3 linked regions of the Arabidopsis thaliana genome follow. The protein of the gene in region 3 interacts with the protein of the main gene of each other region in a biochemical or structural test. Each region holds a gene or a part of one and is shown on either strand. Other genes may lie near its edges.

Region 1 (9,813 bases), on a different chromosome or scaffold from region 3:
CGACCGTAACACTATTATACGACATAGTTTTGAATGTATGTAATAAAATCGGTTATATTGGTTTGGTTTTTCGGTTCAATCTTTCTTGTGTTTAATACAAACTTAATTTCGGTTTATGGTTTTAGTTATTGTTTTGTTCCAAAGAAGAGTGTCTCATTTCTTTTTTGACATTTTCTCCCTTCGAATCTTTGATGCATTTGGTCTTATGGATGCACACAAGATGTAAGTTATATATCAGATGCCAAGGTGATGAAGTTTGATGCATCAAGATACAAACATCACATGCTAATATTTGCAATAACAGATTGACATTACAAAGTTTATATGGCAAAAACATTCAAACCAATTTATATAACCAAAACTTTAAATTTGTAATTATCCTTATCCAAAACCAAATCTCTAGACTAAGATAGAGAAAACCTAACTTAAAGTTAAAACCTTTTTTTTCATTTTGTTCTGAGGGGGCTTTTGTGTTGACGGTGGTGGGAACAAAGGAACATCGTATCCATTCTGTCCGGGAAACACAGCAATGTTCATTTCCGACAAATCTCGTCCTACTGATTTCTACAAAGACGATCATCACAATTCCTCCACCACCAGCACCACACGCGATATGATGATCGATGTACTCACCACTACCAACGAATCAGTAGATCTACAATCTCACCACCACCACAATCACCACAATCATCATCTCCACCAATCTCAGCCACAACAACAGATTCTCCTCGGAGAAAGCAGTGGAGAAGATCACGAAGTTAAAGCACCAAAGAAACGAGCGGAGACATGGGTTCAAGACGAAACTCGTAGCTTAATCATGTTCCGTAGAGGTATGGATGGTTTATTCAATACATCCAAATCTAATAAACATCTCTGGGAACAGATTTCGTCTAAGATGAGAGAAAAAGGGTTTGATCGATCTCCGACTATGTGTACTGATAAATGGAGGAATCTGTTGAAAGAGTTTAAGAAAGCTAAGCATCATGATAGAGGAAATGGATCGGCGAAGATGTCGTATTACAAAGAGATTGAAGATATTCTTAGAGAGAGGAGCAAAAAAGTGACACCACCACAGTATAATAAGAGCCCTAATACACCACCTACATCAGCCAAAGTTGATTCCTTTATGCAATTTACTGATAAAGGTATAAACTTTGGCATCAATTGTAGATTTCTTGATTTGGATTCAGAGAACGTAACTGTGATTATGGTTTTTGTTGCTACTATTTGGGAAAATTCTTATCTGTATCTTAGGCTGAGAAGATACTACATTTTAGAGTAGGTTTCTTATTGTGGTTTTTCAGTTATCTTTAAAGAAGATGATAGTTTTGGTAAATGAATCTGCGTATGTGGATTTTGTGCCTTTAATTTTCTTTTGGCTAAGTGGTAATTTTATCTTTCATTGTAGGTTTTGATGATACGAGCATTTCTTTTGGATCCGTTGAAGGTACTTATCTATCACTATTAGTTTGTTTATTATAGTATCTTGCTATGTATACAAAGAGACGAGCTTTTGTTTGTCTACTGCCTCTTGAAGTTGTCTTTTAAGTTGGTCGAAAACATCTCCCTGAGTGAGCAATAGTAGAGGTATGAACTTGCTTAGTGAAGTGAACATTTGGGACTGAAACAAATAGTAAACATGACTGTGCCGTAGAATTCACAGGCAGTTTCTGTGTTAGATGGTTTAGTTTTGTTTCTAGAGGATGTGTGTGTGTGTGTGTATGTTTGAAAAGTGTATATATATCTATGTTTCAGCTAATGGCAGGCCAGCCTTAAACCTTGAAAGGCGTCTTGATCATGATGGTCATCCTCTTGCAATCACTACAGCAGTTGATGCTGTTGCAGCAAATGGAGTTACTCCTTGGAATTGGAGAGAGACTCCTGGAAACGGCAAGTCCTCAGAAAAAGCTTATATAAACTTAAGCCTCAAAGTTTAATTTTCTATAAGGCTAAAGATATGTTTTTTGAACTGTATGTTTATGTTCCAAGCATGGTGTAATATGTGTAAGAATCCACGTTTTCTCATTTTGAGGTTGCTTCACAGCCTCTGCTCCTCTGCTTGATTTATTCGTTCGGTCTCTTTATAACTGAGTAGAGCTTTTCATTTGTTTCATGTTTATACAAGCAGGTGATGATAGTCATGGTCAGCCTTTTGGTGGTAGGGTCATAACAGTGAAATTTGGTGACTATACAAGAAGAATCGGTGTTGATGGTAGTGCAGAAGCAATCAAAGAGGTAATCAGATCTGCTTTTGGGTTAAGAACTCGAAGGGCTTTTTGGTTAGAAGATGAAGATCAGATTATTCGCTGTCTTGACCGAGACATGCCCTTAGGGAACTATCTACTCCGTCTGGATGATGGTAAGATTAAATTTGCCACTATTCGTATCTTTTGAACTGTGTGTGTGTTTTTTACTGAATTGTCAGTATGCAAAACCCATCTTGCAGGACTGGCCATTAGGGTTTGCCATTATGATGAATCCAACCAATTACCAGTCCATTCAGAAGAGAAAATCTTCTACACTGAAGAAGACTACCGCGAGTTTCTGGCTCGACAGGGATGGTCAAGCCTGCAAGTTGATGGTTTTAGGAACATAGAAAACATGGATGATCTTCAACCTGGTGCTGTGTATCGAGGTGTGAGATGAGGAAATGAGATCACAAAACTTCTTCTCCAATTCTATCAACAGTTATCTGATCAGAAAACAGTCCCCTGTAGATATGATCTCATTCTCTTTATACATTTCTTCTTTTTTTCATGTACTTGCTCAAATATGAAATATCATAACTGGCATTTACCGTACAGACCAAGAAGACCTCAAAATAGATTTTTGGTCTGTTACATTTGTAAGAACAGAACATAAGAGAAGTGAATAAATTGTTCACAATCAGACGAGCGAGTGTTTGTGTGTGGTATCAGAGTCATTCTTCATCCCTTTTATTGTTCTTGTATGAAATGAGTGTGTTCGACCTTGTCAATCTGCAAAGCCAGAGAAACTTTCTGAACTTATACTACTGAGAAAACACTATAATGATTTGATTAACAAACACTAGTATCAAAGAATGTAATTCAACCACTCTCTTGATCCAGGTGAACGGTACAGCCACATCGGTATCAGTAAATGCTCCCAACACAACAAACACACCTTATCCAACCGCCAAGCCGATTAATGTCTCTCTCTCTTACATGTTTCATGGAGACAAGGCAAGCAAGTTATGCTGGAAGCAACTTGTCTCATTATAGCTTGAATCTCCCTCGTGATCTCCTTATTACTTTTCTCCTTTGAGACAGCGTGAAAAGGAGGAAGACAGAATCAAGACAGCATAAACATCACAAACATACAAATGAAACTGAGTTAATTGAAATGTTTATGCATAAATAAACCAACTTCTAGATCTTAAATATCACGTAAGTGGAATAACATTGGTTATAAGCAGATCATCAGGATAAGATTCCAATAGTTAAAGTTTTGCGTCAATAATTGTTTTTGTCGAGAAGGTTTGCATCAATTATTGCATCTTTCTTTCTATCTTTTTTTTTCTTTCTCTTAGAATCGAATTTTAACATATACTTTGATAATGATATATTGTGGTTCTTTTCACTTCACGATTACTTTAGAACATTGTGAATAATGACACTTCAAAATAAAAGGGATAAGATCAGAAATAACATATGAAAATTCCACAAAATCACTACAAATAATTCAGATAATGAAAAAAATACATGTACGTTATGTTATAAAATTCTCAAATATGGTTTTCAGCAAAAATAAATTTGGTTTTTTACTACAAAGTACAAACCAAAGTAAATTGATTTTACAAAGAAAAACGAATTAGAAAATCGTTTTTAAATCATAGAACTTATTCAGTCGAAGAGAATGGCTGACACTTGACGGGTCAGTTATAACTTATAAGTGGACTCTTGGAAATGATCATGAGTTATAGAAAGATCACAAACTTCAATTTATGATATATTGTTGACCTCAGATAATATTTTAGCTATTTATTGGATGTATAAAGATCCATATGAATACCAAAAGAAGGAGTTTTATAACCATTCACCTAACAAAAATGAAATGGAAAAAGAAAAGAGAGCAAATAAGAGGAGGAGAAGAAGAAGACTTTTGGCAAAAGCCAAGAGTCATACCTATTAGTCTATTACATAAGGTGTGATGTTTTTTTTTGCTGTCACATTCCATCTGACCTACCAAAGCTCTCAAAGTGGAGCATCTATTGTGTCTTGGTATAGAGTCACGATTAGATAAATATACAACACCATATGTACTTGTGTCAAATTATAAATATTTGAAACAGTAAGCAACCAGTAATTCGATAAAGACGTCTACAAGCATCTACACATCTAAATTGATTAAAACAAAACACCTTTAAATATAGTGTTTATGAAGTCAAATCTTCACCTTGATTATTCTAAAACAATGGTTGGAGTAATGTTGCTGAATGTTGAGTGAGAATTGACATTTGAGAGTAACTTTCACTATAATGAACTGGATGATAAAGTTGATCCGATAATAATTGAATTTACCATGAATGGTATCACAAGATACATGTATAGAAGACAGTGGTGTTACTTGTTACGCAAAATTAAAAAATGAGCATACTATTGCAGTTACTTTGGATTTATTAAGGAAAATTATGGTTTGACAACAACAATAATACAAAATCTTATGAAAATTAAATAAAAAGAAAAACAAATTTGGCTATTGGCAAAGCTCATTGGCTGTCAAAAGGAATATATACAAAATCTGCTACGTTGCAGTCTTGCGTGCACCGGCCCAGCCCATAGGATTAGAGTATTAAACCTCGAATATTCCATCAGCCTGCGCGTGAATCCAAGCGCCATTAGTTTCCCCAAATCAGTTCTTAATCCTACCCATAAACGATGGGTAAAAATGGTAAATAAGAAAGAAAGTAAAGTACAATATAGTAATATTAATTAGTGAATCTAATCTATTAGCCTTTTTCCCAAGAAAAAATCTCAGCCACTCGATCATATTTTCAATTTTCATCATCACGTTCTTCTTCTCTTTTAAATAACCCTAAATCCTCACCAAACCCAAACCCTCACTCACTATTTTCACATTCTCTTCTCTCTCGATATCATCTAAATCTCTCTCGATCTCAATTTCGCAAAATGGGTAAGCTTCTCGCTCTTGTTGATCTGCGATTCTTCGATTTATTGTTCTTTCGTTGATACTTTTTGAATCTGATCGTAATTTTGGTTTGTGTAGCTGACAAGAAGATCAGAATCGGAATCAACGGTGAGTGTTTTTCTTATCGAATTCCATAAGTTTTTTGGTTAGGTTTAAGTGATTTGGATCTGTAGAAGCTGAGTTTTGAATCTTCGTGAAGGTTTCGGAAGAATCGGTCGTTTGGTTGCTAGAGTTGTTCTTCAGAGGGATGATGTTGAGCTCGTCGCTGTTAACGATCCTTTCATCACCACCGAGTACATGGTTCGTTTCTTCTTCTCTTCGATACTAGTTCGTATCTGGATTTGAGTTAATAGTTTTATCTGAATTTTTGTTAATATACATGATGGTGTGTGCTGTTTATCATATAGATCTGAGAACTTGCTTTGTTGTATTCTTCTTCTATGTTGATTCTCTGTAAATTCGTTTTGACTGATTGTGTATATGGTATCGATTTGTTGCAGACATACATGTTTAAGTATGACAGTGTTCACGGTCAGTGGAAGCACCATGAGCTTAAGGTGAAGGATGACAAAACTCTTCTCTTCGGTGAGAAGCCAGTCACTGTTTTCGGCATCAGGTACATAATCATGGATGATTTTATTATAGTGGTTCTCTGTTATGTTATTGAGAGTTGTGAAATTCTGATTTGTGGTGTTTTATTTTTGAAGGAACCCTGAGGACATCCCATGGGGTGAGGCTGGAGCTGACTTTGTTGTTGAGTCTACTGGTGTCTTCACTGACAAAGACAAGGCTGCTGCTCACTTGAAGGTTTGAACTTGGATCTTTTATATAATAGTCGAGAACTTGTTTATTTAAGATCTATATCATCATCATATTGTTTCATTGTTATTCAGGGTGGTGCTAAAAAGGTTGTCATCTCTGCCCCAAGCAAAGATGCGCCCATGTTCGTTGTTGGTGTCAACGAGCACGAGTACAAGTCTGACCTTGACATTGTTTCCAACGCTAGTTGCACCACTAACTGCCTTGCTCCTCTTGCCAAGGTATCTTTTTCTGTTTCAACCCATAAACTTGTGTAAATTGTTCTGAATTCTGAATTTTAAGTTGAATCATTTCTCTTACAGTTGCAATCTATTTGTGCAGGTTATTAATGACAGGTTTGGCATTGTTGAGGGACTCATGACCACTGTCCACTCTATCACTGGTACGTATTTATATTTGGTTTCATTGGGTTGATTCTTGAAAATATGTATATTTGACTCAATAGTAACTGTTGTTTTGGTGATCAGCTACTCAGAAGACAGTTGATGGTCCATCAATGAAGGACTGGAGAGGTGGAAGAGCTGCTTCCTTCAACATTATTCCTAGCAGCACTGGTGCCGCCAAGGTATCATTTCAGCCTCTTATTTGTTTTAATTGATTTTGATTGAGAAATTATGTTGAATCTGATTTTTGTATCATGGTTGTTGATAGGCTGTTGGGAAAGTGTTGCCATCCCTCAATGGAAAATTGACCGGAATGTCTTTCCGTGTTCCAACCGTTGATGTCTCAGTTGTTGATCTCACCGTTAGACTTGAGAAAGCTGCAACATACGACGAAATCAAGAAGGCCATCAAGTGAGAACCATCAAGGACCCTCAGTCCTAACCATATCATATTAGAATTTATTGGGTACTTACAAAAGATTTTGGTTAAAACTTTTCAGGGAGGAATCTGAAGGCAAAATGAAGGGAATTTTGGGATACACTGAGGATGATGTTGTGTCTACCGACTTTGTTGGTGACAACAGGTATAAAAAATATTGTCTGTAGAGTGATATACAGTTTTCTGATCTTATAAATGGCGAGAGCAAATAATTGAAATATTGGGTTTGTGTTTATAGGTCAAGCATTTTCGATGCCAAGGCTGGGATTGCATTGAGCGACAAGTTTGTGAAGTTGGTGTCATGGTACGACAACGAATGGGGTTACAGTTCTCGTGTCGTTGACCTTATCGTTCACATGTCAAAGGCCTAAGCTTACACCGGCGAGAGTTTGTGTGTGGTTGAGTTCGTACTGTTCTGAATAAAAAAAAGGAGAAAAGAAAACTCGAGTTGTTATGTTTTTTCACTGATTCCATGCGCAGTCATGAGAGTTTGTAGCTTTTGTCTTTTTGCTTTCTCTTAATGTTTCCCTGCTTTATTTACTGAAACCATTGGTTTGGTTTTTTATGTTAATTAAGTTTTTAGTTCATTACTTTCTCGTGCTAACTCAAACCCAACTGGCAACTGGAACATTGAACGTCCTCTTCTCGTATTTTTAATAGTCTATTTGTACTTGAGCTTCTCCACCAAAATGGTTCTTCCTAGTCATATAGCTCACATTAGGTCAATCATCTTCGATTGAAAGCAAAAGTTACTGAGACGGATTTATTGGTTGATAAGCATCGCCACATTGTTTTTTAACGAATCAGCCAAGTTTGTTGAAACGGAGGATCAAAAATTGGAATTTAGTATTTCCTTGCAATTGCGAAGATCCAATTTTTTGGTTGACATCATTGTAAAATGATTGATATTATAATTTTATTTGCATGCTAACTTTTAAAGTTAATAGGAAACTCGTATTTTCAATAGTGACATGTTATTGCATGTGATAATACGATTATTTTATTACTTTATTAGTCGTAAATGAAGAGTAACATGCCACTATTGAAATGGTACTCATGAGATCACACGCTAGTTATTAAAGGAACATAGAAGTAAAGAAGGTTTTTATTGCAACATCAAAGAGAACAAAAACCACACATCAGTTGTAATGATACATCAAAGTTATATATATGACAATGTAACTTTTATTATTAAATAACGCATTCAAGAACACTTTTTCTGCAGTTCTTCACAAAGCACACGCATAATTCTAGAATTTCAAACCGGAACCTTTGAGTTTCTCCTCGACGATCATATCGATTTTATTTACCATTTCAGAGGTCATATAACTCTTCCAGTCACCAACTTGTCCTTTACGGAAATAAGTCTTGTAATCTACTCCACCCAAGGATCCAGTTTTGTTGATCTCCAAACTGCTTAAATTACTTAGAGAGCAAAGTTCCAAGATCTTGTCTACAGTTCCGCTATCTTCCTCTTCCTTAGTGAATGGACAATCCAAGAACTCTGCAAGTCTCTTGACCTGAGTACGAGGCTCCGCTTTCAACTCCTCGTACCTCATGAAAAGAAAATGCTTAGGATCTTCCAAGCTGCCTCGCCAATAGCTCTGTGCATGGTCCCAAAAGGGACCGTGTAGGGTAACTCCGTTGCAGAATGACTCAAATATAGCCTTGAAAGAATAATTCTCCGCTCGAATGATCTTTTCATTTTGGCTAAAATCTCCCCATTCTACTCCCTTGTTGGCATTGAGGAAACACCAAAGTGACACCAACACGTCTTTCACGTTCCTGCACACGTACACTACCTTGCAAGGAGACTTCTTCAAGGGTAGTTTAAGCGCGTCCAAGGACATATGAGTTGAGAACAATCTCGGAGATGATGATGATGATGATGATGATAAGAACTTGGTCAAGTCCGGTTTTGAGCTGTTGAGATACAGATCTAGCTCGAGGTACGGTACTATCTCATGAGGGTTATGAGATAGCAGAGGATGATGATGATCTTCTAACGAGTGTTTTGATCGTTGAACGAGTGCAAATGTGAGTGCTTTGAGCCAAGTCGTGCCCGATTTGTAGAAAGAAGCAACAACTATATCGGTTTCTTGTGGCTGAAAACTCGAGTGTATATTGGGGATTGATTGGAGAACGTCTTCGTAGTACCAATATCCTTGGTACTTGAAAAGCTTGTTCCCAAGGTAATCTATCTCCCAAGGAAGTGAAGAGATCAAAATTTTGGTTTCTTCGCTTTGATTTTCTTCTTCTTCTTCTTCTTCTTCCCTCAAGTTCCTTAGAATATCTTTCTCATCCATTTTTTTTGGTTCTTGTTTTGTTAAGTGAACATTTTAGTTGATTTTAAAGTGCTAAACTTAAATGCAGCATTTTACTAATATAAAATTACGCTCCATTATTGACCTTATATACATAGAACAAAATAATGTTATAATCTTCGACTTTTTTCTAACAAATATTAACCAATCATGTCACTAAGAAATTAAAAAATACTAGTATATAGGAATCTAGTCCATTGTATATATCGTAAACATGGACACTTCACCAACGAACATGCATGGGGTCTTTTTATAAGGTTCTTTATACCGAAACCATTGTTTTGGTTTTTATGATAATTGAGTTAGTTTTGTGGCTTTTCCGTTCAACTAAAAGTCTCATTATGTCAACTGCTATTAAACCGGCGCACATGGCATGTTTTATGAAATTAAGGTCAATTGGACTCCAACTTTTCAATTATTAAAAAAAAAGAAAAATGATTGTTGTATGCCTTGGCGAAGAAGAAAAGCCGCTAGCTTTATTCATTATCAAACGAAACAAAAACAACAACACATCACTAAGAATCTTAAACTCTTAACCTTACATCAAAGTAACTTTTATTACATTGCATACAAGAAAAGAACAAACCAGCATTATTAGGTTTGAGATTAAACCTGTTCCCACACATATACATAGAGATATGAACTCTACAATTTCAAACCAGAGCCTTGAAGTTTCTCCT
Region 2 (9,891 bases), on a different chromosome or scaffold from region 3:
ATAAGTATTCTATAAGCCAAGTCTCCTAATCTCCCTGGTAACGTTATCTCATTCCACATGTACTCTATAAGTATTCGCGAGCGTGTGGTTTCGATAGAGTAATAATTTAATGATTGTAGAAGGAGATGACTGTGGGATCATCCTAGACTAGAGTTTTAATCTCTTGATTTGATTTTTCCTCGACGAGTTGAACTAACCAGCTTGTGATTTTTTTTAGCTTCTCGGGTTGTGGTAGATTTTATTATATATCACTTGGTTGTCCTATCACTTGAACTCGAATATTTACTTCTACGAATTGACTTTGCGAAATAAGCTAATATATCTAGTATTATGGTTTCCCCTGCATATGTATTTTACATTGTATTTAACCTGGATTTTGAAATCAGTTTTAAAAGTAACTGTTGAAAACATAAATTAAATAAAACTTTTTTTAAGGCTCAACTATACTTTAGAAGGAAATAAATGTGTTTCCTAGTCAATTTGTGTCGATGAACAGTACACATTGACTTTGATTGTGTGCGATATCGCGTTAGTTTGATTTAAAATGATTGTGACCATACACTTCAGAAAATCAAAATGCAATTTGACCGGAAAAAAAAAATGGTCCAGTATAATTATTATTCCATGGCACAAGTAGATATGGAAACACCATTGTTTATAACCCAAAGCGAACGTTACAGAGCTATACAAGAAATTATATGGAGATTCTGTTTTCTATTTCCATTCTTGCTCTTCTCTTTTCCGGAGTAGTAGCTGCTCCAAGCGACGATGATGTTTTCGAAGAGGTTAGGGTTGGATTGGTGGTTGACTTGAGTTCTATACAAGGCAAGATTCTGGAAACTTCTTTTAACTTAGCGCTTTCAGATTTCTATGGCATCAACAATGGATACCGAACCAGAGTCTCTGTTTTGGTCAGAGACTCCCAAGGAGACCCGATCATTGCTCTTGCCGCCGGTGAGTTTTCATCTCCCTTATTCAATTATTGCAATTTTTGGTGGGATCCACAACTCCTCTTCATTTAAAGCAGACTGAATCAAATAAAAAAGAATTGACCTAGTCCCGCCGGTTTACTCCGGTTAACATTCTCATGTCTTGCACTAACCGTTTTGCACTGCAATTTGTGTTTGTATGAAACAGCTACTGATCTTCTCAAAAATGCAAAAGCGGAAGCCATTGTTGGTGCACAATCATTACAAGAGGCAAAGCTTTTGGCGACGATTAGCGAAAAAGCTAAAGTTCCGGTCATATCTACTTTCTTGCCAAACACGTTATCTTTGAAGAAATACGATAACTTTATTCAATGGACGCATGATACTACATCAGAGGCTAAGGGAATTACAAGTCTCATACAAGATTTCAGTTGTAAATCGGTTGTGGTTATATACGAGGATGCTGATGATTGGAGTGAGAGTTTGCAAATATTGGTTGAGAATTTTCAAGATAAAGGAATCTATATCGCTCGTTCTGCTTCTTTTGCAGTCTCATCATCAGGAGAAAATCATATGATGAATCAGCTAAGGAAGCTTAAGGTCTCAAGAGCATCGGTTTTTGTGGTGCATATGTCCGAGATTCTTGTTTCTCGTCTCTTCCAATGTGTAGAGAAGTTAGGTTTGATGGAAGAAGCGTTCGCTTGGATCCTCACTGCAAGAACCATGAACTACTTGGAACATTTTGCAATAACTAGGTCGATGCAAGGGGTCATTGGTTTCAAATCTTACATCCCTGTATCTGAAGAAGTTAAGAATTTTACTTCAAGATTGAGGAAACGTATGGGAGATGATACAGAAACAGAGCATTCTAGTGTAATCATCGGTTTACGCGCACACGATATCGCTTGTATTCTAGCAAATGCAGTAGAGAAGTTCAGTGTAAGTGGTAAAGTTGAAGCATCTTCGAATGTATCAGCTGATCTTCTGGATACAATTAGACATAGTAGATTCAAGGGTTTGAGTGGTGACATCCAAATCTCTGACAACAAATTTATCTCAGAGACATTTGAAATCGTGAATATTGGAAGAGAAAAACAGAGAAGGATAGGATTATGGAGTGGTGGTAGTTTTAGCCAAAGAAGACAGATTGTTTGGCCTGGCAGGTCTCGTAAGATCCCAAGACACCGTGTTTTGGCAGAGAAAGGTGAAAAGAAGGTGCTTAGGGTCTTAGTTACCGCAGGAAACAAGGTCCCGCATCTAGTGTCGGTGCGTCCTGATCCTGAAACAGGTGTTAATACTGTCTCTGGATTCTGCGTAGAGGTTTTCAAGACTTGCATTGCTCCTTTTAACTACGAGCTTGAATTCATACCTTACCGTGGAAACAATGACAATCTTGCTTATCTACTTTCTACTCAGGTGTGAAAATGCAAACAGTTTAAAAACATTTTTCTAGTCAAAAATGATTATGTATGTTTCTAATAATGTGTGTTTGCAATTTTGACAGAGAGACAAGTATGATGCAGCAGTTGGTGATATCACCATCACTTCCAACAGATCTTTGTATGTTGATTTTACTTTGCCGTACACTGACATTGGTATTGGAATCTTGACAGTGAAAAAGAAAAGCCAAGGGATGTGGACCTTCTTTGATCCTTTCGAAAAATCCTTGTGGCTAGCAAGTGGAGCTTTCTTTGTCTTAACTGGGATTGTTGTTTGGTTAGTTGAACGGTCCGTTAATCCGGAATTTCAGGGCTCTTGGGGACAACAACTTAGTATGATGCTCTGGTTTGGTTTCTCAACCATTGTATTTGCTCACAGTAAGTGTTTATGTTAGAGTACTACTCTTCATGAAATCCCATCCTTTTGTATATTTTGATCTATAACAAATTACGCACATTCTTGGCAGGAGAGAAGCTACAGAAAATGTCATCAAGATTCTTAGTCATAGTTTGGGTTTTTGTGGTGTTAATATTGACTTCAAGTTACAGCGCAAACTTGACATCAACCAAGACCATTTCTCGCATGCAATTAAATCATCAGATGGTTTTCGGGGGATCTACGACGTCAATGACTGCGAAGCTCGGATCCATTAATGCAGTTGAGGCCTATGCACAACTTTTGCGAGATGGAACTCTTAATCATGTCATCAATGAAATACCTTATCTCAGTATCCTTATCGGAAATTATCCGAATGATTTCGTAATGACAGATAGAGTGACTAATACCAATGGCTTTGGCTTTGTATGTACCCTTCTCCTCAAACCTCTCATTTTCTCTCCATTATTTGGTTACTTATTCTTGTTACGTACTAATTTATGTTTACCTCTCAGATGTTCCAGAAAGGTTCGGATTTGGTTCCTAAAGTATCGCGAGAAATCGCGAAGCTAAGATCATTGGGAATGTTGAAAGACATGGAGAAAAAATGGTTTCAAAAACTGGATTCACTAAATGTACATTCCAACACCGAGGAAGTTGCATCTACCAACGACGATGATGAGGCATCTAAGCGATTCACCTTCCGTGAGTTGCGCGGTTTGTTCATCATTGCGGGAGCTGCTCATGTTCTCGTACTAGCCCTACATCTCTTTCATACGCGTCAAGAGGTATCACGACTATGCACCAAACTTCAAAGCTTCTATAAGTAAAAAGTGATCCATCGTTCATAAGCTCTACTATAGCAATTGACGGGACAGGACTCATAAGTAACAACAAAGTACACTTCGAAACAAATTTCACATGTAATACTTGTTTTTTTTTCCCGTTTAAATTCACATGTAATAATTTAATTCACGTAAATACTAAAGTGATTCACCCATCACGAAGTATTTTTTGAATTAAATACATCAACTAATCGAGTTTTTGATAGGGACTTTTGCTTTTTTGAATATTGCTTATCAAATCAAAATTTTCAAATTCTTGTCCATATACGCCTATCAAATATCTTCTTTTAAAGAAAGTCTCCTAAAGAGTTGAAAACTTGAAATATATACTTTTCTAAAATATAATTTTATTTGGGCGTTACGTTCTAGAAAATGGAACCCGTCTACTAAAATGGGCCGCTCGTGAACTCGTGGCAGTCAAACACTGGTCGGCGCATAAAAGCATATCCAAATACGCTGCGTTTCATGCTTACCCGACCCGTCTTAAATATTTAAAGAATATTCCAGATTAGCGCGTGAGATGCAGTTGCCATGTCTCGCCTCAGGAATGACGACATTTGCCAAAATAACAGAGCTACAACGGTAAATAAGGAAAATGATTAAGGGCAATTTGGTCTTTTAGGTTAAGAAAAGTATTGAATCAGATCTGACTTTTTGGCCAAGAAAAACTCTCAGCCACTAGATCATTCCGACCCCTCCTCCACGTTCTTCTCTCTTTTAAATAACCTCTTCACGGAACCCTTCTCACTCACCTATCTCACTCTAAAATCTCTCTCTGCCAATCTCATCTTCAACCTCTCTCTAACTCTCGTTTTCGATTCTACAATGGGTTAGTCTCTCGCTTTTACTAATCTCTCGTCCCGTCGCTGCTATTTTACGTTGTTGAGTTTTCTGATCTGATCGTTTTTCTGATTTTGTTTGTTGTTTTATGTAGCTGACAAGAAGATTAGGATCGGAATCAACGGTGAGTTTCGAATCGATTTTGTAATTCGGGTTTGTATGTTCTCATGTATCTAGATCTAGAATCTGACTGTTGATTTCTGTTATCGTTAGGATTCGGAAGAATTGGTCGTTTGGTTGCTAGAGTTGTTCTCCAGAGGGACGATGTTGAGCTCGTCGCTGTCAACGACCCCTTCATCACTACTGAGTACATGGTTAGTGTTCCTTCCTTGGTTTTGACGGTGATTCGATCTTGGTTTGCTTCAATATTATTTTGATCTCTTGACGATAAGATTCTGTTAGTCGCTCTGGTACCTTTGCTTTCGTTAGATTTGATAGATGGATCATATCATTTATGGATTATGCATGTGGATTTAAGTGTCAGATGATTTGTTCAATTAGTGCACAGATCTGGAAACTGGTTTAGTGTTCATTGTTCATACTGTTTAGCTGATCAGTATACTTGTGGAGCTGTTGTTTGTTTTGCTGTGTTTGTAATGTTATTGATTAGCCTGTTTGTGATTAGAGTTGATATGGTTGAGTTGATTTTGATTGCGCTCTGTGTTTGATTGCTGCAGACCTACATGTTCAAGTACGACAGTGTTCACGGTCAATGGAAACACAATGAACTCAAGATCAAGGATGAGAAGACCCTTCTCTTCGGTGAGAAGCCAGTCACTGTTTTCGGCATCAGGTACATTTATCAACCAGTTCTCTGTCTCTTTGCGTGTATACATATTACAAACTGTTGTGAATTTCAATCTCATTAGTTTTTGGTATTTGTGAAGGAACCCTGAGGATATCCCATGGGCCGAGGCTGGAGCTGACTACGTTGTTGAGTCTACTGGTGTCTTCACTGACAAAGACAAGGCTGCAGCTCACTTGAAGGTTTGTCTTATTTGAATTGGTTATTTTTGTCTTGTAATGATATAAATAGTTTATGTGCTAGAATTTGCTTAGTATCATTCAACTAAATTTGTGACTTGTTGTATTTTCAGGGTGGTGCCAAGAAGGTTGTTATCTCTGCCCCCAGCAAAGACGCTCCAATGTTTGTTGTTGGTGTCAACGAGCACGAATACAAGTCCGACCTTGACATTGTCTCCAACGCTAGCTGCACCACTAACTGCCTTGCTCCCCTTGCCAAGGTAAAATATCTGATATTCTATATGATCAAATTTGACTTTGTATTTCAAGTTGAAGTGACTAATTTCATTTAACGTTCTTTGATTTCATTGTGTAGGTTATCAATGACAGATTTGGAATTGTTGAGGGTCTTATGACTACAGTCCACTCAATCACTGGTAAATTTATCAATCAGTTAGAAGTTTATTACAAACTTGCTTGCCTATAGGTGGAAAATTTGTGATTTAATGGGGTTTGCTTTATGATTTCAGCTACTCAGAAGACTGTTGATGGGCCTTCAATGAAGGACTGGAGAGGTGGAAGAGCTGCTTCATTCAACATTATTCCCAGCAGCACTGGAGCTGCCAAGGCTGTCGGAAAGGTGCTTCCAGCTCTTAACGGAAAGTTGACTGGAATGTCTTTCCGTGTCCCAACCGTTGATGTCTCAGTTGTTGACCTTACTGTCAGACTCGAGAAAGCTGCTACCTACGATGAAATCAAAAAGGCTATCAAGTAAGCTTTTGAGCAATGACAGATTAAGTTTACTTATATTCCAGTAGTGATCAAATTACTCACCAAGTGTTTTTACCACCAATACATAGGGAGGAATCCGAAGGCAAACTCAAGGGAATCCTTGGATACACCGAGGATGATGTTGTCTCAACTGACTTCGTTGGCGACAACAGGTCGAGCATTTTTGACGCCAAGGCTGGAATTGCATTGAGCGACAAGTTTGTGAAATTGGTGTCATGGTACGACAACGAATGGGGTTACAGTTCCCGTGTGGTCGACTTGATCGTCCACATGTCAAAGGCCTAAGCTAAGAAGCAGATCTCGAATGATAGGGAGTGGAAAGTCATCTGTTCATCCCCTTTTATGGTCTGAATTTGTCGTTTTCGAATAAAATTTCTTTGAACTTGGAACTTTTTTTTTTTTTGGTTTTCTTAATTCTCATTCATGTGAGGTGATGGGAGTTTGTAGACCGATGTTTTACTGGAAGCCCTTTGTTTTTGGCTTTTGATATATTGAGTTAACGTTATGGTTTTCAATTTTGTTCCACTTCTCTTTTTAACTATATACTAAATCAAATCTGAACGAAAAATGAAACTAAATGAGCTCCCGTTGATGATGACGTAGCAAATCTAAGGAACTAGAGGTGTACACTTATTAATCTAGCTTCTTCTAGTTTTCGAATAAAAGTTTCTAAGTGGAACCTATATTTTATGTTTGCGATTCTCATTTATGCGAGTTTGTAGACTGATGTTTGAATGAAAAGTATTTCATGTTGCCTTTTGTTATTGATTCTTCTCAAAACATAAGAAATTCATTAACAGATGTGCGGTTTATAAAGACAACGAAATATGTGTTCATCTGTAAAGGTACTTTGAACAAATTATTAAACCATGTTACACAAATTCACGTATAGTGGCACTTCAATTATTTGTACACATCCGCATCGAAAAAATGGGGAGGTCGTTGATATACGACACAAGAAGGCCCAATGCCAAAGCCCAGTTGGTCAAACACAAAGCCTAACCGGTTTTTCAAACCAGACGGTGTAAAACGCTTCCAAAACCAGAGAGCCCAACTTTGGGCCGTAAACCCTTCTCTTGCGATTAGTCCTCCTCAAATTTCTCCGGCAAGAGGCCGTCGTCATTTTCACAATTTCCCTTTGCTCCATCTTTCAGGTACGATCTTTGAGTTTCATGTCTAACTTATTTTCGTCATATGTCACTAGTAAGATTCAAATTTCATTGATGATGATAAAAATTTGATTTTCCTATGGTTGCAGTTGAAGAACCCTGTTCTGGGTTTTAGATTTAATGTCTTGGCTTATTCAAAATCGCATTGGAAACACCTTGTTACGCCTTAATCCTTCTTCGTCTTCTATCGCTATTTTCTCTACGTTTATCAAGAATCTCTCTACTGCTTCGGAGCAATTACCTGAGACACTTGATGAATATTCACAGTCTGAGGAGATATGGAATGTTATTGTAGGTAGAGACGGTGATAGAGATAGTGAAGATGATGTTTTTAAACGTCTATCTAGCGATGAAATCTGTAAAAGAGTCAATCTTTCTGATGGTTTGGTTCATAAGCTGCTTCATAGGTTTAGAGATGACTGGAGATCTGCGCTTGGTATTTTGAAATGGGCTGAGTCTTGTAAAGGGCATAAACATTCGAGTGATGCTTATGATATGGCTGTGGATATTCTCGGCAAGGCGAAGAAATGGGATCGGATGAAGGAGTTTGTGGAGAGAATGAGAGGAGATAAACTTGTTACTTTGAATACAGTTGCTAAGATCATGAGGAGATTTGCTGGTGCAGGGGAGTGGGAAGAAGCTGTGGGAATATTTGATAGGTTGGGTGAATTTGGATTGGAGAAGAACACGGAGTCGATGAACTTACTGCTCGATACGCTTTGCAAGGAGAAAAGAGTGGAGCAGGCCCGAGTAGTTTTGCTACAGCTGAAGTCACATATTACACCAAATGCTCATACGTTTAATATCTTCATTCATGGTTGGTGTAAGGCAAATAGAGTTGAGGAAGCTCTTTGGACGATCCAAGAGATGAAAGGTCATGGTTTTCGTCCTTGTGTTATTAGCTATACGACGATTATAAGGTGTTATTGCCAGCAGTTTGAGTTTATTAAGGTCTATGAAATGCTAAGTGAGATGGAAGCTAATGGGTCTCCTCCGAATTCTATTACTTACACAACTATTATGTCTTCTCTTAATGCACAGAAAGAGTTTGAGGAGGCTTTACGGGTTGCTACAAGGATGAAAAGATCCGGCTGTAAACCCGATTCTCTTTTCTACAACTGTTTGATTCACACGCTTGCTCGAGCTGGTCGGTTAGAAGAAGCTGAGCGGGTTTTCAGAGTCGAGATGCCAGAGCTTGGTGTTTCCATTAATACATCTACCTATAACTCTATGATTGCTATGTATTGTCATCACGATGAGGAAGATAAGGCGATTGAGCTTCTCAAGGAAATGGAAAGTTCAAACCTTTGTAATCCCGATGTTCATACGTATCAACCCCTGCTGAGATCTTGTTTTAAGAGAGGAGATGTTGTTGAGGTTGGGAAACTATTGAAAGAGATGGTGACTAAACATCATCTCAGCCTCGATGAGTCGACTTATACTTTTCTGATACAGAGGTTATGCAGAGCTAATATGTGTGAGTGGGCGTATTGTCTATTCGAAGAGATGATTAGCCAAGATATCACGCCGAGGCACCGCACTTGTTTGCTGCTCTTGGAAGAGGTCAAGAAGAAGAATATGCATGAATCAGCTGAGAGAATCGAACACATTATGAAGACTGTGAAACTTACTGCACCTGTAAAGTGAGGTTTATTAGTTATTATGACGACTTGACTGTTACTTCGCAGATTGGGATGAGAAGTGGTCTCTTCATGCTTGCGAAAGAAGACAAGACCAGATCATGCATAAAGATGTTCATTGTGTTGTTTATTCAACCACATTGTAGTGTAGATTTCAAGTTCGTTGGTCAATGGATATGGACAAGAAACTTGGACTTCGTATTCATGAAAAGTTGTTAAGATTGGAACTCTGGAGTTGATTGATCTGACACATTCTTGATGATAAGAGGTTAGGCAAGTTTTGTTTGTTTTCTGTTTTGACTCGATCTTTGCAAAGGTCTCGAGACATCTCAAGATCTAGAGTTATGGCAGGCTTATTCACATCAAGACTAATTTATGGGAGAGTTTACACAAGTGTGGGATCCAAGAGCATATTTTTTTTTGTAATGAGCATTGAGTTTATGGACAAATACATGTGCATTTGGATGCGTCCACACTTCACAGTTCACACCGACAGAAAGGTAGATCCATATTACCCCAAACAAAACAAAATATATTTTTTGGGATATTTTTGAAATTATTAATAGAAAATAAATTTGAGTAGTCTTCTTCAACTTCATAAGATGGTTAAGCTTTAACTACGAATTATTGATTAGATATTATTATTAAGGGCCCTCAAATGTTAGCTGCCACAAGTGGGCACTTTTTCTTTGGTCTACATTGTTCGAAATTTATGTATTAATTTAGAGGCAGAGCAATTTACATGTCGATTTATTATGCACGAAATAACAAAACTACTAGTATCAATAATAATACATCCACGTCTGTTTCCAACCAAACCAGGGATGCGTCTAATTTGATGAAGCATCATTCAATTATTGCTTACACACTTCTTAAACATTTTAAACTTTACTGAATA
Region 3 (11,523 bases):
CAGCCCTACTTCACCAAGTTACAGTCCAACATCACCAAGCTACGGTCCTACGTCTCCAAGCTACAACCCTCAGTCTGCTAAATATAGCCCATCTATAGCTTACTCTCCTAGCAATGCAAGACTATCACCAGCTAGCCCCTACAGTCCTACATCTCCCAACTACAGGTAAGTAGTAATATCTTAATTTTTACACTTTCTATGAAGCTTCTCTTATCTGTTGTGGTGATATTGTGTCATCTTCTCTAATCGTTAACTCTTATTAAAAATTTACTCTGCAGCCCGACATCTCCATCATACTCACCCACATCTCCATCTTATTCACCTTCAAGTCCAACATACAGTCCCAGCAGGTTTGACTTTTACCCGCTTGAAAATCTTGGATCTGTTGTAATGCATCCATCTCAATTGAATTCCGCAAAAAGTTTAACTGGGTTGTTGTTATTAAATCTGTCTCAGCCCATACAGCTCAGGAGCAAGCCCAGACTACAGCCCAAGCGCAGGCTACTCGCCAACACTTCCCGGTTATTCACCGTCATCAACGGGTCAGTATACCCCACATGAGGGCGATAAAAAGGACAAGACTGGAAAAAAAGATGCCAGTAAGGATGATAAAGGCAACCCTTGAAAGAGAGTGAGAATTGGCAATCCATGTTTTAGGTAACGTCTAAATCTCTTGGAACCATTGGGGTTTACAAGTCTTACTAGCTCACGAACTTAGCCACTTGGGATATCGTGTAACCCGCAGGTCATGATTTAAGAGACAGTGAAAGCTGAGAAAAGGAAGGGACCGTTTCAAAGTGATCTTCTGTGGATAACTTTGTGAACAAGGTTTTCTTAATAGATCCTTTTTTCGTGAGTTGTATATTATTCCAAACTGATCCATAAATCCATCCAATCCTCATCCCCCAAAAAGAAAATAGTATAAACATAGAAAAACGAAAACATATCAGACTTTGGGCTTTTCGTATGGTTTAGTTTTTGGCTTTTTGCTGTGTTGTTCTATTTCAGAAAGTAAACATGTGAAACGGTTCATTTGTAATCCATGAAAGGATTCTTTATGTTACTGCTGTTGCTTCATTGAGTAGATACGAATCGAGAATGCCTTTTTTCCTTGTTTCCGACAATTATCGATTGACGTGTGACCACTTTAAAAGTTTAAACAGCTCGACTTTCCAATATGGGTTTATTTCTTGTTTTATCCACACCATTAAAGAATGGTTTTTGGGATTTTTATTTATGTGATAATTAATCATTTTTCCAAATTTTATTTTGTATATAATAAATGAAGCAAATGTTGGAAAACTATCCAATGGATGTGGTGGGTTAATATCACCAGATTCGCATAGCTGGTTTTTGACTTGTCTTCTTAATTATTTGTCCAGAAAAAGAGAAGAACTCTTCACATCATCATTGTCAACTTTAGCATTATTGTATTAGCTTTTTATTTCTTTACGTCTACAAAGCTATTGGTACAACGTTCTAAAATCAAATTCGTCATCAGTAGATTTTGTAAACTAATTAAGTAAAGTTCAGTGATTAAAGAAGCTAGATGAAGAACGTGTGCAACGACTCCTCTGAGATCTACACGGAATAATGTCGTCAGTGAGCAAACAACTCCCATCACGTCGTCCCTCCACCTGTCCTCTCTTCTCCTTCCTTGCTTGTCTTTCTCTCTCAAATCATTTCACCTAAAAATAATAAATATCTTTCGTTTTCTAAAGAAAAAAAAAAAAAAAACTTTTCAAATTCATCTTTGGTTTCTGCAGCAGCAACAACAACCGAGCCCTGTTCGTTAGGGTTTTCGGTTTTTGTTAGCTTTTCTTCTTCTTCTTCTTCGTTTCCTTCCACCTGAATTGTTGTAACCATGGCGGAGAAAGTATCGGAGGACGTTATGCTTCTACACGGTGACCTCGATTTGAAAATTGTTAAGGCTAGGAGGTTACCTAACATGGATATGTTCTCAGAACATTTGCGCCGTCTCTTCACCGCCTGTAACGCCTGTGCTAGACCCACCGATACCGATGATGTCGATCCCAGAGATAAAGGCGAATTCGGTGATAAAAACATCCGTAGCCACCGTAAGGTTATCACCAGCGATCCTTACGTCACCGTCGTCGTTCCTCAAGCGACTCTAGCTCGAACACGTGTTTTGAAAAACTCACAAGAGCCTCTTTGGGACGAGAAATTCAACATTTCTATAGCGCATCCGTTTGCTTATCTCGAGTTCCAGGTCAAAGACGACGATGTTTTCGGTGCTCAAATCATTGGCACGGCTAAGATCCCGGTTCGAGACATCGCATCGGGAGAACGCATTTCTGGTTGGTTTCCTGTACTCGGTGCTTCGGGAAAACCGCCTAAGGCAGAAACTGCTATTTTCATCGATATGAAATTTACTCCGTTTGACCAGATCCATAGCTACCGATGTGGAATCGCCGGAGATCCGGAGCGTAGGGGTGTTAGACGGACTTATTTCCCTGTGAGGAAAGGAAGTCAGGTGAGGCTTTACCAGGACGCTCATGTTATGGACGGAACGTTGCCGGCGATTGGGTTAGATAACGGGAAAGTTTATGAGCATGGGAAGTGTTGGGAAGATATATGTTATGCTATATCTGAGGCTCACCATATGATTTACATTGTTGGTTGGTCTATCTTCCATAAGATTAAGCTTGTTAGGGAAACAAAAGTTCCAAGAGATAAGGATATGACGCTTGGGGAATTGCTCAAATACAAATCCCAGGAAGGTGTTCGAGTTTTGCTACTTGTATGGGATGATAAGACTTCTCATGATAAGTTTGGGATAAAAACGGTTAGTGTTTTCACAAGTTCTTTGGATTCGTATTGCTATTTTTGAGCTTTTGGATTACTAGTTGTAATGTTAATTGGAGTTTCTGGTGAGGATAATTTATGTTTTGACAGGTTATTTGGTGTTTTTGACATTAAGATGTTGTGTGACATTTATTTTGCAGCCTGGAGTTATGGGGACACATGATGAGGAGACTAGGAAGTTCTTCAAGCATTCTTCTGTGATATGCGTTTTGTCACCCCGGTATGCCAGCAGTAAGCTTGGGTTGTTCAAACAACAGGCAAGTCCTAGCTCTTCTATATATATCATGACAGTTTTTGTTTGGTATGATGTTGATATGTTTTAGCTAAGGGGGTTTAGTCCCGCATGATGAGGGTTATTGCAAAGTTGGAAATTAGTTAATGTGGATGCTTACTTTCAATTATAAGAGATGTTCTGACTCTAATCCATGTCGCACCATTGTTTCTCGATTGTTTAGTTAAAGGCTCTTTCAACATGTGGGTATCAAAATGTTATGTCAATTTCGGCTTTGGCATAGTTATTATCTTTCCAAGGGATATCTTTTTTGATATCTGATGTTTAATGGCCAGGTTGTTGGAACTCTCTTCACGCACCATCAAAAGTGTGTTCTTGTAGACACTCAGGCTGTTGGTAATAATCGCAAGGTCACCGCTTTTATTGGAGGTCTAGATCTTTGTGATGGCCGTTATGACACACCTGAGCATAGGATACTCCACGATCTTGACACTGTATTTAAGGATGATTTCCACAATCCTACATTTCCAGTAAGTTTATTATTATATACCGGCTGTTATCAAGCTTGAATCCTAATTCTTTAGTTATTACTGATACATACTCTGTTTTTACTTCCTCAGGCTGGTACCAAGGCCCCAAGACAACCTTGGCACGATTTGCACTGTAGGATAGATGGGCCTGCGGCATATGATGTTCTCATAAACTTTGAGCAGCGATGGAGAAAGGCAACACGATGGAAGGAGTTTAGCTTACGTTTAAAGGGGAAAACTCACTGGCAAGATGATGCTTTGATCCGGATAGGGCGTATATCATGGATTCTGAGTCCAGTGTTTAAATTTCTGAAGGATGGTACTTCGATAATTCCAGAGGACGATCCATGTGTTTGGGTTTCTAAAGAAGATGATCCAGAGAACTGGCATGTTCAGGTCCTTGTTGATTCCTTCCAAACTATACTTATTTCATGTTAACAAATGTTGTTGATTTGATCTAACCACGCGGTTTCTTTGACTTCTAGATATTCCGTTCTATCGACTCAGGATCCGTGAAAGGATTTCCAAAATATGAAGATGAGGCTGAGGCCCAGGTTGGTCAATCAACTTATTTGCTATTATTAATTATCTTCCTTGAAGAATCACCGTTTATTCAATGAAATTTCTCTTTATAAGCCACCACATGGTATAGAAATTGCACTACTTACAAAGTCTTCAATATAATTTAACTGCAGCATCTGGAATGTGCCAAGCGTCTTGTTGTAGATAAAAGCATCCAGACTGCATACATCCAGACAATCAGATCTGCTCAGCATTTCATATATATCGAGAATCAGTATTTCCTGGGTTCTTCTTATGCTTGGCCTTCTTATAGAGACGCAGGTGCATTTTGATCTTTGAGTACAGTTCTTAGACTAGGAAATAAAATACTCACATTGCAGACAGCATGAAGTCTAGAATTGTTCTCAGTTACTAGTTTTGTATTTGTGGCTCTATTTTCACCTCACAGTTACCTGAACTGTATTAAATAAAGCTTAGTAACTTTTTCACCCGCGGATTTTCTGATTCTGTGTTCGTCTTGTATGAGCAGGAGCTGACAATCTTATTCCTATGGAGTTGGCACTAAAGATTGTTAGCAAAATCAGAGCTAAGGAAAGATTTGCCGTATATGTTGTCATACCATTGTGGCCTGAAGGCGACCCAAAGTCTGGCCCTGTGCAAGAAATTCTATATTGGCAGGTAACTTTGTTTAGCTGAGTGTAAGATAAGTGCCAATACCAAAATAGGTTGTTCCATTTCTTTAAAAGAGAAACTTACATTCTGCTAAACATCTTCTGTTCTTTTCATTTCGTAGAGCCAAACTATGCAGATGATGTATGATGTTATAGCAAAAGAACTGAAAGCGGTGCAATCAGATGCTCATCCTCTCGATTACCTTAACTTTTACTGCCTTGGTAAACGAGAGCAGCTTCCAGATGATATGCCAGCCACCAATGGCAGTGTGGTATAATCTTCAAACTTCTAAGACTAAGAATGTTTCATTCACAAAAACTGTAGCTTACAGATAGATAAATCATACATAAAGTTTCCTGTAGTAATCAGTGGAACAATTTCTTTATGATCATTTTAACTGCATTTTTCAGGTATCAGATTCTTATAATTTCCAGCGTTTCATGATTTACGTGCACGCAAAAGGGATGATAGTAGATGATGAGTATGTACTCATGGGATCTGCTAATATCAACCAAAGATCTATGGCAGGCACCAAAGATACTGAAATCGCCATGGGCGCATACCAACCTAATCATACATGGGCTCACAAGGGAAGACACCCACGTGGCCAGGTTTGCCTTCCTCCTAACATCTTCATCATCATCATCTATATCATAACCAAACCTCAAAAGTGTCTCTATATCTACATGGGGAAAGTTTCAAATTCCTGAATCCTGGATTTAAAAACAGTAAAGAAATTTGGGATAGCATTCGATCTTGCGAAAAAAATCACGTTCTTAGATACTTGAGAGAACTTGTGTTTCTACTCCCAGATTCTTGAACCATTATATATATTGAGTCTTCGTAAGACATAAAGAGCTTGATGATATCTCTATCTATCTACACAGGTGTATGGATACAGAATGTCACTATGGGCAGAGCATTTAGGCAAAACTGGAGATGAGTTTGTGGAGCCATCAGATCTGGAATGTCTGAAGAAGGTGAACACAATCTCTGAAGAAAACTGGAAAAGATTCATAGACCCGAAATTCTCAGAGCTACAAGGTCACTTAATAAAGTATCCTCTACAAGTAGACGTTGATGGTAAAGTAAGCCCTCTTCCTGATTACGAGACCTTCCCAGATGTTGGTGGTAAGATCATTGGAGCTCATTCCATGGCTCTTCCTGACACTTTAACCACGTAATGTGAATGTTCAATGTAAATTTCAGCATTTGTTTTGGGGTTTCTTTTGATCCTGAATAATATTAGCTGAAAGTGTTGTTTGAGTTGTTGTACATTTAACTGTGTTGTTTCTTTTTTATACATTCTTTTGTGATTGTCGTCAAATATTTGTTGGGGTGCAAAATGTAGAGATCGTGAGTGAGTGAAGAGGCAAAATAATTTGAGGATATTCTATTTTTCTCGGTTTTCTTTTTCAAAATCGGATAATGATGCTGTGTAACTGCGTTCAAAACAAAATTTCTGCTTCGACTTTTAATGTTAAGATTAGATGTGCCTATCGGTTCTGTTTACCCGAACCAAACCGAAGATTCATGGACACTTAGACAGATCAAAATATTTAATTAGCGGTATTAAACCGAACCAGACCGCAGACCGGAAATATCAATCCGGGACTGATTACGATTATTGTTATTTTCTTTTGTTGTTGCAGACACCATAAGAAACGTGAGTCTTGCTACATGCAATTATTGACTCTTGTAATAGTATAAAATTTTATTGAATAATTCATCTGTAGACAAGGGGGAAAAGAAAGACTGATTTTACGCTTTATTGCTCTCACTAAAACCCTAATTCTCTCCGTCTCGATCGCGACCTCTGTTTCTTCGGCAATGGTAAGCTTCCACGACTAAGTCTCTGTGTTCTTCTTGATCTTCGAGAAATTTGAGGTAATTACTTCGTTTTGCAGGCGGATTCTCCTCAAAGAAGAAGGTTAGATTCAAGTTTCTATTGCTTCGCATTTCGGAGCTGTTATTGTTCCTAAATCGTTCTCTTTTGTTTTTTTACATGTTTCAACAATTTTGAATTGCATTACATTTGCGTAGGGTTGTGAATCTGACGAATTGATTTTGGGAATTTTGACTTTTTAAGATCTAGTATTGGAGTCTTTTTCTATGTAGTTGTAGTTCTTCTTAATTATGTTTTGTTGCAAATGCTATTTGATTGGGTATTTGTAGCTCAGAGGACTGATAAAGAGCTAAATGTTTCTAAGTAACAAGTCTCAGTGTAATCTTTTACTTGATTTCTGCATCAGGGATTCACGATCTCCTTCACCCCGAAAAGAACGAGCTAGATCCAGATCCAGGTCTAGGTCCAGGTCTAGATCCAGGCCCAGGCTTAGGTCCAGGTCAAGATCTTTGCCAAGGCCTGTTTCTCCATCACGAAGCCGTGGAAGGTTAGTTATTGCGCAGTATAGGGTTTTCTTATGTAGATTTTGGGTATGTCACTGAAAATTTCTGAAGAATATTGCGTGGTAATCTTTTTTTCATTACCTGTACACTTTGTAGGTCAAGGTCAAGAAGCCGTGGAAGGTTAGTTCCAGCTTTCTCCATATGAGTTTGCATTCTCTTGTTATCTGTAATTCGTTTGATATTTTTGCGATATTTTGAATTTTGGTTGACAGAAGTGAAGTTGAAAACCCTGGTACCACTCTCTATGTGACTGGCCTATCTACAAGAGTCACTGACAAGGATCTTGAAGCACATTTCGCCAAGGAAGGAAAGGTGATAACATCTATACCTGATTCTCATTTCTCATACTACCAGTTTAAGTCTATTTTGTGTCTGCATTTTTGGGCATATAATCTTTGATCATATAGTTTACCATTTTCATTTCCATAGGTTGCGTCTTGTTTTCTTGTGATGGAGCCGCGCACCCGTGTGTCTCGTGGTTTTGCCTTTGTTACAATGAGCAGCCTTAAAGATGCTGAGCGGTGCATTAAATATCTCAACCAGTCTGTACTAGAAGGCCGATACATAACTGTGGAAAGGGTAAAATTTCATGCTCTACTGATTTTGGTGGTAGTTTGAGATCATTATTTGTTGACTTGGAGGTTTTCTGATCATTCAGAAAATATTGCATCAAGCAACAATCAGAGATGATAAGAGTACTCATCCTTGCTCAACATCATTAAGTGAAACACAGCTTGATCAATCGAATCGCCAGCTTAAACATAATCATAAGCAACTATATTGCCTCAACTCTCAACTCTCAACTAGTCAAAGGACATTATCAAGTATCAACAACTATTAGTCAAGTGTTTCTCCAGCCTAGGATGCATCTTGTTTCCTTGAATATACCTATGGCTTTTCTAGATTGAAAGTTGTGTTCCATTACATGAGCTTTATGTACTTTGTGCTTTCTTCAGTCCAGGAGAAAGCGCCCGAGAACTCCCACCCCAGGCCACTATCTTGGCTTGAAAAGCTCCAGAGACAGCGGTAATTGAACATTTCAAACCTCGTAGTTATTATTGAGTCTCTCTCTAGACAGATGAAAGGTTGCTAACTGTTCCGTAATCTTTTTGTTGTTTTGATAAAAAAGATCGAGAAGGCCGTAGCAGTCGAGGGAGGCACTATGATCGTGATGATTACAGAGACCGTAGGTCACCAAGACGCGACTATTCACCTCGTGATGAAAGAAGGTCTAGAAGAGATCGGTCTTACTCTCCTCATGGAAGAAGCCCAGAGAGAAGATCAGAGAGAAGGTCTGAGAGGTCAGAGAGAAGGTATGAACCCCGTGGCTCGAGATGACCTGTTTTCATCCTTTTGACAAAGGATTCAAAAACTTCTCTGTTGATTTAGGTTGTGTAATTGATCATCCTTAAAATAGCACAAAGATTCTGTCAGGCAACGCTTTGGGTTTCATTTATTTTCTGTTGTTAACGTGTTATTCTGTCGGAACTCTCTGAAGTGAAAACTAAAAACTGTAATAGCTTCTCTGTTATGTCTCTACTCTACTTGTTTTTGAATGAATCAGAATATCTTATGTGATTAGAATCTTTAGATTGTTCGCAATTTTTTGTTAAACAAAAAGGTGGAGATACCAAATTAAAGCTTGAAAGTTGAAACTTAACTAAAAACAAAACCCCAAGTTGTGACCAGAGACAAAAATAATCAATCGTATATACTTGTTTAATTATCGAATACTAACACAAACCTCATCAAGAATTGGCGTATTTGTGCCAACAAAGCAACATAAGAATACATCTTCTAGCTATATAAAACCTAGAACGTCTCTCCTTCACCATGGCTAAACATCCTTTATTCCTCCTCTCCATTGATTCTCTGCAACATTCTTCTTCCCTTTTCCTCTTTCTCCTCATCTTTGTCGCCGATGAGCATTGCCCCATAATTGTTCTCTTCTCTTTGATTACTTCGTTTCTTCACACTTTTACGTTATTGCTCTTTTTGTGCTCTACGGAGAGATGATTTTTCGTTATAAAAGACAAATGGAAGAAGAAGAAGAAGAAGCAATATTAAAGGGACCAAATGTGAAAAGAGTGGAGAGGAAAAATAAAATGAAAAAAGACTATAAATAGAGGAGTGGTGGAGCAATGATGATGCGATGACGTTCAACATCATTAAGTTCTTTCATTTATTTACGTATTCGTAAAGAAAATATATTATTTCATTTTGCATATGTACTTACGCGATTAAACAATTCCACATTACTACGCTTTATCATTGTTACTTAAATCGTTTATTAGTGGAATAATTGTCTTTGTGTCTAATACCATAAAAGATAGTACTAAAGTCTTCATATGACTAGATCATCCCTTCCGTTTTTTAACGTTAATTCGTATGTTACATTTCAAATCATTTATTGTGGCTTATTAAAGATATACTATAATGTAAGGATCGGAGAACTAATGGTGATCATGTAATGAAAGACAAAACATTGTCACATATATTGTAATTATTTTTGGTTTTCGTTATTAATTAATTGTTAGTATCTTCCGGATTTTGATTCATAAACCAACCAAAAACGCGTCTCAGGTGGTTTTAGCGTACCCGACGTTGCAACTGGCTTATCTTTTTCCTACACGTGTCTTCCTCTGGTTGGTATTATATCATACGTGTAAAATGGACTTTTACCTTAATTAACCGCATCTTATGGTCATCAATTCATTTCTTAAGCTACTTTTTTAATTTATTTGTATGACTTTTCTTATCGTTACTTATTTGATTAAACCTTTCTTACGCCATTTTTTTTTCTCGACAAGTATGTTGCATGAATTCATATTGGAGAAAAATTAAAGATCAAATAGGATTGAAATTGTTTGGTAAACCGCATCCAAAACCGCACCGCAACAGTGCTGTAACAGTATCAAAATCTCTACATATACATATGTATCTATGTATTTTCGTTACTATTTGAACCGCACTGCACTTTTTCCGCACCGCAAAATGCAGTCACCATTCGGACCCTAAGTTTAGTTATAAGAAGGGCTTCTTCGTAAACGCAAAAGCAACGTACGTCAGCATGAACTGGTGGAAGAGAATAAAGTATCTGGAAGAAGAGAAGGCAGTAGTGACCAATCATTGGTACTTGATTGGTTTACGCCACGTCATCACACTTTCCTTTCACAGCTGTATAATATTCCCCTCTTCTTGTTTTTTCTTGACAAAAAGAATAAAAATCATTTTTTTCATTTTCTTATTTTTATTTCGGCTGATCATTTTTCCAGTTTCTGGATACATTTTATGATTTTAATTACCGAACCAGATATGGGATATGGTTATAAGCGTCGTCATATGGATATTGTTGTCGCCATTTTCATTTTGTCTTTAACTTTGCGAACGTTGCCCACTTGCCACTTTATTTACTTGTGTTAAAGTGTGTAAAATACCAACACCAAGCAAATATGGGCCACAAGGCCCGACAAAAATGATCTGTTGCGTTAGGATTGAAATTTGAAAGGCCTATTATCATTTAGGCTCACTCGTACCTCGTACGTATTGCTATTGCCTATTGGTTGTAACAAGATCAACTTTTATGTAATTACCAATATTAAACTTATAGTGTTATACAACAAATAGTGAAATAAAAACAAACATGTCCATTAATATGTCATCATATTTGTATCATAAGTAGCAAAACATAAAAAAAAATATATATAAAAAAGTCATCACCATCCACCATCATCTCCTTTTCTTTTTGCTTCATAAACATGAAAACCACCATACATTTATCTCGAAGCCAAAAAAGCAAAACTGTCCATTATCCATTTAAAGCATTACAATAACTAAAAAAATAAGAGTATTCTCGTGACCCACACTCATATGGACCCTACATAATGACGTGGATGAGTCCTACGTGTTACACAACGAAACGTTCATGTCCTCCCTGGCTTTCAACCCAAACTCATACATTACACCCTCTCTCTCTCTTCTCTTCAATTTCCGTCTTCTCACTCTCTAATCTTTTCGCCTTTAGTTGAATCTCTGGGATCATTCTACCTTTTTGTGGATTTAGGATCGAAGAAGAGATCACTCCTACTGTTGAATTCTGGTTTTACTTGAGAGAGTTTTTCAATTCTGATCTGCTGTTTTGCGATGGCGATCAAAGAGGAGACGGAGGAGAGTTGCGGAAGCAGAGCCGTGGTAGCTTCAATAACGAAAGAAAGCCCTAGACAGCACCGTATGAAACTGGAGGTGTACGGTGAGGTTCTTCAACGAATCCAGGAATCCAATTACGAAGAAGCTAATTTCCCTGGTTTTGATGATCTCCTCTGGCTTCACTTC

Evidence for each region.
Region 1: the proteins of PLDDELTA (region 3) and GAPC2 form a complex in vitro, tested with the Arabidopsis thaliana proteins (one study listed by BioGRID).
Region 2: the proteins of PLDDELTA (region 3) and GAPC1 form a complex in vitro, tested with the Arabidopsis thaliana proteins (one study listed by BioGRID).

Annotation. Positions count from the first base shown.
Region 1 is NC_003070.9:4,605,832-4,615,644, reverse strand, and holds GAPC2 (glyceraldehyde-3-phosphate dehydrogenase C2), read left to right. Parts: upstream 1-4,766; 5' UTR 4,767-5,150; coding exon 5,151-5,154; intron 5,155-5,247; coding exon 5,248-5,277; intron 5,278-5,368; coding exon 5,369-5,469; intron 5,470-5,669; coding exon 5,670-5,785; intron 5,786-5,876; coding exon 5,877-5,976; intron 5,977-6,062; coding exon 6,063-6,209; intron 6,210-6,309; coding exon 6,310-6,370; intron 6,371-6,455; coding exon 6,456-6,553; intron 6,554-6,639; coding exon 6,640-6,782; intron 6,783-6,870; coding exon 6,871-6,954; intron 6,955-7,047; coding exon 7,048-7,180; 3' UTR 7,181-7,568; downstream 7,569-9,813. Other genes in the region: GT-1 (Homeodomain-like superfamily protein), read left to right, coding at 530-1,145, 1,409-1,447, 1,756-1,890, 2,129-2,359, 2,447-2,646; ST4C (sulfotransferase 4C), read right to left, coding at 8,060-9,115; ST4B (sulfotransferase 4B), read right to left, coding at 9,779-9,813. UniProt on the Arabidopsis thaliana protein: Key enzyme in glycolysis that catalyzes the first step of the pathway by converting D-glyceraldehyde 3-phosphate (G3P) into 3-phospho-D-glyceroyl phosphate. Essential for the maintenance of cellular ATP levels and carbohydrate metabolism. Binds DNA in vitro.
Region 2 is NC_003074.8:1,076,663-1,086,553, forward strand, and holds GAPC1 (glyceraldehyde-3-phosphate dehydrogenase C subunit 1), read left to right. Parts: upstream 1-4,279; 5' UTR 4,280-4,414; coding exon 4,415-4,418; intron 4,419-4,523; coding exon 4,524-4,553; intron 4,554-4,642; coding exon 4,643-4,743; intron 4,744-5,106; coding exon 5,107-5,222; intron 5,223-5,316; coding exon 5,317-5,416; intron 5,417-5,526; coding exon 5,527-5,673; intron 5,674-5,768; coding exon 5,769-5,829; intron 5,830-5,922; coding exon 5,923-6,163; intron 6,164-6,252; coding exon 6,253-6,469; 3' UTR 6,470-7,028; downstream 7,029-9,891. Other genes in the region: GLR1.1 (glutamate receptor 1.1), read left to right, coding at 699-954, 1,138-2,345, 2,434-2,746, 2,836-3,170, 3,260-3,574; AT3G04130 (Tetratricopeptide repeat (TPR)-like superfamily protein), read left to right, coding at 7,474-9,000.
Region 3 is NC_003075.7:16,950,217-16,961,739, reverse strand, and holds PLDDELTA (phospholipase D delta), read left to right. Parts: upstream 1-1,569; 5' UTR 1,570-1,864; coding exon 1,865-2,806; intron 2,807-2,966; coding exon 2,967-3,116; intron 3,117-3,393; coding exon 3,394-3,588; intron 3,589-3,678; coding exon 3,679-3,984; intron 3,985-4,073; coding exon 4,074-4,142; intron 4,143-4,283; coding exon 4,284-4,431; intron 4,432-4,639; coding exon 4,640-4,788; intron 4,789-4,903; coding exon 4,904-5,053; coding exon of another isoform or gene 5,054-5,059; exon of another isoform or gene 5,060-5,192; coding exon 5,193-5,393; intron 5,394-5,669; coding exon 5,670-5,966; 3' UTR 5,967-6,222; downstream 6,223-11,523. Other genes in the region: NRPB1 (RNA polymerase II large subunit), read left to right, coding at 1-165, 279-350, 457-625; AT4G35785 (RNA-binding (RRM/RBD/RNP motifs) family protein), read left to right, coding at 6,613-6,615, 6,690-6,712, 7,035-7,175, 7,288-7,311, 7,404-7,503, 7,621-7,770, 8,148-8,217, 8,321-8,529; RTFL6 (ROTUNDIFOLIA like 6), read right to left, coding at 8,940-9,128; STY17 (ACT-like protein tyrosine kinase family protein), read left to right, coding at 11,335-11,523. UniProt on the Arabidopsis thaliana protein: Hydrolyzes glycerol-phospholipids at the terminal phosphodiesteric bond to generate phosphatidic acids (PA).